2 linked regions of the Danio rerio genome follow. The protein of the gene in region 2 interacts with the protein of the main gene of each other region in a pairwise test. Links are inferred from orthologs where the notes say so. Each region holds a gene or a part of one and is shown on either strand. Other genes may lie near its edges. The genes, in order: cip2a and topbp1.

Region 1 (3,831 bases), about 19 Mb from region 2:
ATATACGTCGCTTTACTCCCATTCATGAATTCGCTCGCGGGGCATCATGGGATAGCGCAGCATGCATGGGATGCTCACTCCAGAATCTCGCCAGAAGTAGTAATTCTATGAATTCGGACATACTACTCGGCTTACATACTGATTTTAGCGTACTATATAGTATGGAAGTATGCGGTTTCGGATGCAGCCATAGTGTTGTTTTAAACACGGCATGTTAGGAAGTTAATTTTAAACCTCAAATTGAATATATCCTTATTTTAATGAAGCAATATTGATTCTTAAATCCCAAAATCAATCTTTTAGTCGAGGGGTTTTAAACTGAGTGAAAATAAAAATATTTTTAAAAAGTTACAAATAATTCAAATAAATCAAGTATTAAATTGCTAAAAATAATATTTATATTAATTAGTGGTGGGGCGGTTCACAATATCTGGTCATGGTTTTTGGTTTGATTCAGTTTACAGTGTTAAAAACAAAAAAACAAAAAAAACAAAAACAGATTGTAACACTTGTGTACTATTGGGGTGTCCAAACTCGGTCCTGAAGGGCTGGTATTCTGGAGAGTTCCAACCCTAATCAAACACACCTAAGCCAGCTAATCAAGGCTATCTAGAAACATCCTTGCAGGTGTGTTGAGGCAAGTTGGAGCTAAAATCTACAGGATACTGGCCCTCCTGGACCGAGTTTGGACACCCCTAAATTAGAAACGCTATACATCAGCATAAAATACATAGCCTTATAATAAAATTTTTATATAGTATTTTAGTTATTCTCAAGTACATGTATTCTAATTTCAGCCTTAAAATTTAATCGAGTATTTTGTTGTTGATTAATGGCAATGACCACAGTGCCTTAATTTTAGATACAAACTTTAGTCTTTTGATGTTGGCTTTTAAATGAATTCTAAATTGTTATAAATGAATCATAAAATGTTAAATATACTGTTTATTATCATTGTTTATCCTAAAATGTTGATTATTAAATATATTGTAATTTTTTCCTTGTGTTTTTATTTATTTTTATTCACTATTATGTTGTTTGTTTTCATATGTTGTATTTAATGTAAACATCACAAATACTTCGACAATAAATATGTAACATTTAAGCTAATTTAATGTAATTAAATGGCGGCCTGCTGACTTTTTGGGTAGGGCTGTCACCTCACTGCAAGAAGGTCACTGGTTTGAGCCTCAGCTGGGTCAGTTGGCATTTCTGTGTGGAGTTTGCATGTTCTCCCCGTGTTCACGTGGGTTTCCTCTGTGTGCTACTGTTTTTACCACAAGTCCCAAGGCATGCAGTATGTGTGAATTGAGTAAGCTAAATCGTCTGTTGTGTTTGTGTGTGTATGAAAGTGTTTAAATGTTTTCCAGTGATGGGTTGCAGCTGGAAGGGCATCTGCTGCGTAAAACATTTGCTGGATAAGTTGGCGGTTCATTCCGTTGTGGCGACCCCTTATTAATCGAGGGACTAAGCCGAAAAGAAATGAACAATTTAATTTAATTTAATTTAGTGAGTGAACATTTGATTATTAAAAATTTCAAATAAATATGTAAATGATTAAATCCTGCACTATAATGAGTAAAAATGCAATAATGTAACTTCACAGAATTTAAATAATTTCTATAAAATATTTAGAACCTATATACGAGTATTAGAACGTGAGTCTTACAAGACACTATATTATATAAATACATTTTATGAAGGGGTTACCTTACATGATGGTAATCATATATGTTGATATATTCATGGTATCCAAAAGATTACAAAAAAGCAACTGTTTTTGGCGAGAGACTTTGTGTTTTGATACTTTTACAAGAAACAGTCTCATATTCAAAAGCTGCCCAGTTTATCAGAAGATTAAACAAATTTTGATGCTCTGAAAATCAGTGTCATGTAGCATAACATTTACACGGCAAGTCTATAAGATCTACAGCTCTTTAGTCAATAGAGAACTCTGTAGAAGGTTAGTGAGGTTGTCAGTGATGTCATAATCATTTAATTTACTTCAAAAACATCAAATATAAAGATGATAGAAGTTATTAAAATCTATTTGTTGTTGTGGTCGTGTGTATAATATTTCTAATGGTCTCCACAGTGCCTCAATGTCCTGCAACGACTGACTTACAACGTGAGGACTCTGCATTGCGCCTCTCACATTCACGAACTCATCAGCTTCTTAATGCAACATGTGTAAGAGCCACAACATTCCCTCTTTTCTTGCAGATGTTTGTATGATGTGGATGAATCAGGCACTTTTGAGCGCAGCAGACTTCATATTGATAGTGTAGAATATTGATCTAAAATTCTAGTAGAACAGTTATAATGTAACAACACTGTTCTGATTCAAGTAAATATATTATTCTGTATTCTTTAAATACTTTAAGTGTTGTGGGTGCTAATGATGAAAAGAAATTCAACATTGCTAACACAAGAATAATTTAAAAACCTATTTTATTTTGTATAATAATACTTTGATATAGTATTACAATTTTATTCCAGTATTTTTGATCAAATAAATAGCATTTGAGGCTTTTAAAAATATCTTAACTGGCGTTGAGATGTATAAATGAATACTTAAAGTGTATGAATTAATACTGAAACTAGTTGTTAATTTGTATGCAAAACTGTTCTGTGGTGTCTTGTCTGAGAAAAACTTTTAGGTATTGCAGAGGAAGTAAGGGCTGTGTGTGTGTGTGTGTGTGTGTGTGTGTGTGGGGGGTGTGTGGGGGGTGGGGGTGGTTAGGGGGGGGTGGAAAACCACGAAACTTGTTCTGTAATTTTAATGGCGAGGGCTAATAGCTGGCAAGTAAAATACAAATTGTGATTGTACATGAAAAAAATACATCTTTTTTTATTATATTCAAATAATTTTAAAAGAAATGCTGAAAAAGTGTTTTAATAAATATCTAATATCTAATGCTTATGTTTGTCCCTAGCCAGTCCAGTAATGATGACATTGTAAAGGCCTGTCTGGGCCTGGTGGCCAACCTCTGTCGACATGACGTAACAGTGCAGGCACACATCAAATCACAGGTGAAAATCAACATCAACTCTCACTCCCACACTCTCAATGTGAACTTAGAAGTTTAGATGATTAATATTATCGCCTTTTTTTGCAGAGTAATGTGAAGGCGTTTTACAGAGCCTTGATTAATTTCCTGGGTCATAACTGTCTGACAGTAGTTGTCTTTGCGCTGTCCATTTTATCAAGTTTGACTCTTAACGAAGAGGTTGGGCAGAAGGTGAGTCAGGATGCTTATTTGTAGGTCGTTTGCTTTGTATCTTTTTGTCATCTGGTCCTGTGGCTGGAAACTTTTAAGTGGCCCCTGTTGTTGTTTCCATGTGTGGTATTGAGGTTGTATCTCTGTTTTTGCAGCTCTTTAATGCAAAGAACATTCATCAGACTTTCCAGCTAATTTTTAATATCACGGTCAACGGAGATGGCACGTTAACCAGGAATTATGCTGTGGACTTGTTAGTGGATCTCCTGAAGAACCCCAAAATTGCTGATTACTTGACTAAGTATGTTTGTGAGAGTTTTTGTTTGAAATGCGTTTCTTATTTCGGAAACTTATTTGTATCTTTCTCAACACTAGGTATAAACACCTCTCGGTTTGTCTGTCTGAGGTTCTCGGGTTGCTGCACAGCAAAGATCCGGATACTGCGTCAAAGGTGAAATGCATAATACAGTTTGTAGAAATAATCAATACATTTGTAGGCAATATTTATGTATTTTCAAGCTTTTGTATATACAAGAGTCAATTAGCAGGTCTTTACCCCATTAGCTGTCACTTGATGTTTACTTAACTGTATTGCTATGAAATTCTAATC
Region 2 (3,831 bases):
ATAAAAATAGTGTAATAAATGTAACTTGTTACATGCTTAATTGAGATAAATTGTTGGTGGTAGGATGGGTGTTAGCCTGATCTTTACATGGACAGGTAAATTAAGTTCCGTTTAAAAATGTAAGATCTACAACACAAAAATCTGAGTGAATTTAAGGGCCCTATCGTACACCTTGCGCAATAGGCAAAAGACTTTTTTTCCGTTTGTTCATGACAGTTTGCATTTATATAATGCTATTATTATTAACAGTTTTAATTATTATATGCATGTTTATATTTTTTTATAAAAACAAGTTTAGATTTGTCCACCTGACTGGTTTTGGAGACGTATGCATCACCATACGGGGCATAAGAATAGGACATGTGTTAGGATATAACTCAAGTTTTTTGACTGAAATTAGACCTGAATTTAGAAATAGTTTTAAAACAAATCTTTGTTCTTAACAAACAAAATTAAATATGTAGGCTAAAGAATGTCTTCAGTGGAAAGCGTACAACACTGTTTCCTTTCCACGAAGAGAGAGAGTAAAAGTAAAGAGAAAGAAAATGAAAGGAGGCTCATTCTTTATCCTCGCGGTGAATAAGGTTTGATTAACTGTTTTATCGCTAGTGAAGCAGTCAGGTTTCCACTTACAAAGTCCACCACGGACACACCGTAAATGCTTATGCGCCGTGTGCCTAGATTGTTAAACTAGAGCCCTAAGACTTTGTAAGGCCTAAAATGTAGTTTTGAAAAATTAAAAGACTTAAGTCCTTGCATCTGATGCACATCAACAGAAATCATCAAAATCATTGTCTGTCTAAATTCTCAAGTGAACAACCAGAAAATGCAATGTATACTCTCAAGTGGTAAAAGCTTTGAGACAATAAGAGAATCAAACAGTATTCTGTGTAGTCTTGTTTTTATACCGTATGGCCTCTAAATTGCGACTGCGTCTGCTCATCCGCCCCAGGCTGTCCGGGGTGTGGGGAGAGTCCAGCCCCCCTGGGCCTGTTTTGGCCAACCGCGAGGAGCCTCGACGACCGCTGGTTAGTTTAGTGGCAGACATGATCTCCTGAAGCTGCCTTTGAAGACTTTCCCTCATCTCCAGTGTTTCCGTGAGATCTGAGGGAGGCACAATATAAGAAAATTAAAGGAAGAGTCAATTAACTTAAGATCAGTGAGAGAGAGAGAGAGAGAGAGAGAGAGAGAGAGAGAGAGAGAGAGAGAGAGAGAGAGAGAGAGAGAGAAAGAGAGAGAGAGAGAGAGAGAGAGAGAGAGAGAGAGAGAGAGAGAGAGAGAGAGAGAGAGAGATGTATAATAAATAAATCAAAGACATGTCTTTAAAGATGACTTGCTTTTCTTCTCGGTGCTGATGGTTTGATCTTTCTCAGGCTCTCCCACACTGCCTTGCTTAGGAGTTGAGACGTCGGTGATGTCATCATCAGGGCCCAACTTTAGAAATAAAGAATAAATATATACAAGATATAACCTTTAATAAAAACTTGATAAGCTGGGATTGATTGGTGGTAAAGTTATGAATGGTCACCCTGGTCTCCTCATTCTCAGCGAAAGCTCTCAGTCTGGTGCGGGGGGTGGCAGAAGGAGGTGATCTCTGAGTGGAATCTGCCATCTGACTCATGGTGAGGCTCATTTTAGGGTTGAATGTAAAAGGGTAGAGCGACTCCGACACATGCTTCTGCTCATCTGCACACTGAAAAAGGAATGGTGAGTGAATGTAATGAATTCCCCAGCTTTGCACTACTGTTAAATTATTTACTTTCAATTTTTAATGTCCATTATTAGGCAAGGCAAGTTTATTTATATACAGTAGCACATTTCAAACACAATAGTAATTCAAAATGGTTTACATAAACAAGGATAAAAGAAACTAGAAATACTCATTTCGGTTAATTTTGCAAACCAACAACCACCACTCGTTAACCCAATATTAATGATTAAGTGGTCAGATTAATATTAAATTATTATTTAATTTTAAAAAATAATTGACGTGTCTATTTTGTGTCTGACACGTTAAATATTGCATTTTAAAATACTGATTTATTTTAACATGCGAACATATTATCAACAGAACATCTCAAAGCACCTGCAGTGTTTCCAACAGCACAGAAAAAATATTAAACAAAATAAAAGGCTAAAAATAAATGCCTGCACTAGATATTTTTCACTTAAATTGCAAATGTAGATTACAAAACGAAAACACTTCGTGAATCCTTTTAAACCAGCATAGGCTATTTTTACTTCCATCAAATAAAAATAGCAGGCTACCTCAAATCAATCATTGAATCAATCATCAAATCAAAATTAATTCTCTGTGGCAGTTCTTATATCACAAACCACTGTCAACATTTTAATAAAAGTTTTTAGTTTAAAGATTATGTCTTGAGCTTCTAAATTTAACTTATTTAAGAGCTTCTCAGCTTTTACTTACTTTTTTTTTTCATCATTTACTTCGTCATTTATTTCTCAAAATCTTTCACAGCAAATGAATATTTTAGCATGGTGTAGTCATTTACATACATATAATAACTGGTAAGCACAGAAAAAAATCTTGAAATGGCCAAACAGGAGCTCCAACAGTCAATTTGTCAGCTTACAGTCATGTACACCTGTTGTATTGTGGTACGTGTCCTCTTTCTATGGTGTTAATAGAACATTAGGGGTTTATTTAATGGTTTTGATATTGAATTGTACGTGCTATTTTTTTTAGATCGTTGTCATTCTATTCAGAATACATTTTGAAAATTTTGGTGCATTTTCCCATCATCAAATGCTCAAAATGTATCTTTAATAATAGCAATATCTGAATTAAATACTTTGTAACAAACAACTGTTTTTATTACATGGTGGTGCAGTGGGAAGCGCTATCGCCTCACAGTAGAGATCTGCGCGGGACAATATTTTGAATCCCGCTCCTGCCAGGTTTTAGCCCGAACCCGACCGCTCCCGCATATATTAAGTATTTGTTGTCCCGCTGCCCGACCCTTCCCGTTTTCTTTTCGGAAATGAATAATAATAATAATATTGATTATTTATATTTATTTATATTTATAATGCAGACCTCTACCTCACAGCAAGAAGCTCGCTGGTTTAAACCTCAGCTGGGTCAGCTGGTATTTCTGTGTGGAGTTTGCATGTTCTCCCCGTGTTTGTGTGGGTTTCCTCCAGGTGCTCCGATTTCCCCCACAAGTCCAAAGACATGCGCTGTAGGTGAATTGGCTAAGCTAAATTGTCTGCAGTGTGTATGTGTATGTCCTAATCTTCCCACCTCATAAAAAAGATTAGATGTAACGAAACACCAACATGGTGCGGCTAAATATCAATTTCGATTTAAAATGGCCCTGGGAGTAAGAAAGTAACTGAAATTATTTGTATATTTGAAAATGCAAATACATTTTGACATTGTGTAACAATGAGGCAATGCTTTAAGTTTTGTTTTTAAACTCTAATGAATGCTTAATGTATATCTACTCATTAGGTAACTTCATATACTTACAGCCTGTAGCCAGTGTTGTGAAACTATATAGAGTCCTCTCTCTTTGACAGCTCTGTATTCTTTACTGTTGTCTCCCACTTTCCCCTGGTAGATGTAATGAGTGACCGAGTCGTCACAAGACCATCTGAAACAGAGAGCATGACATTAGACCCCATTGCTTTATCCTAAAACACATAATACCAGCATCTTAGCTGCCAATTAGATTTTTTGTTGATTTATTACCTTCTCAGTAACTTATGACTAGGCCACACAGAATCTGAGCGCACAGAAATCCACAGATTTCTGCATATTTTTAGGCCATCATTTAGTCTATTTATTTACTTGTATAAATGTGT

Evidence for each region.
Region 1: the proteins of topbp1 (region 2) and cip2a interact in a two-hybrid assay, tested with the Homo sapiens proteins (2 studies listed by BioGRID). The link is inferred for Danio rerio from reciprocal best matches to the Homo sapiens genes TOPBP1 and CIP2A.

What each region holds. Positions count from the first base shown.
Region 1 is NC_133199.1:29,181,232-29,185,062, forward strand, and holds part of cip2a (protein CIP2A), read left to right. Parts: intron 1-2,095; coding exon 2,096-2,190; intron 2,191-2,936; coding exon 2,937-3,033; intron 3,034-3,119; coding exon 3,120-3,242; intron 3,243-3,376; coding exon 3,377-3,522; intron 3,523-3,596; coding exon 3,597-3,672; intron 3,673-3,831.
Region 2 is NC_133199.1:10,074,846-10,078,676, reverse strand, and holds part of topbp1 (DNA topoisomerase 2-binding protein 1), read right to left. Parts: intron 3,621-3,831; coding exon 3,497-3,620; intron 1,694-3,496; coding exon 1,529-1,693; intron 1,435-1,528; coding exon 1,338-1,434; intron 1,105-1,337; coding exon 909-1,104; intron 1-908. UniProt on the Homo sapiens protein: Scaffold protein that acts as a key protein-protein adapter in DNA replication and DNA repair. Composed of multiple BRCT domains, which specifically recognize and bind phosphorylated proteins, bringing proteins together into functional combinations.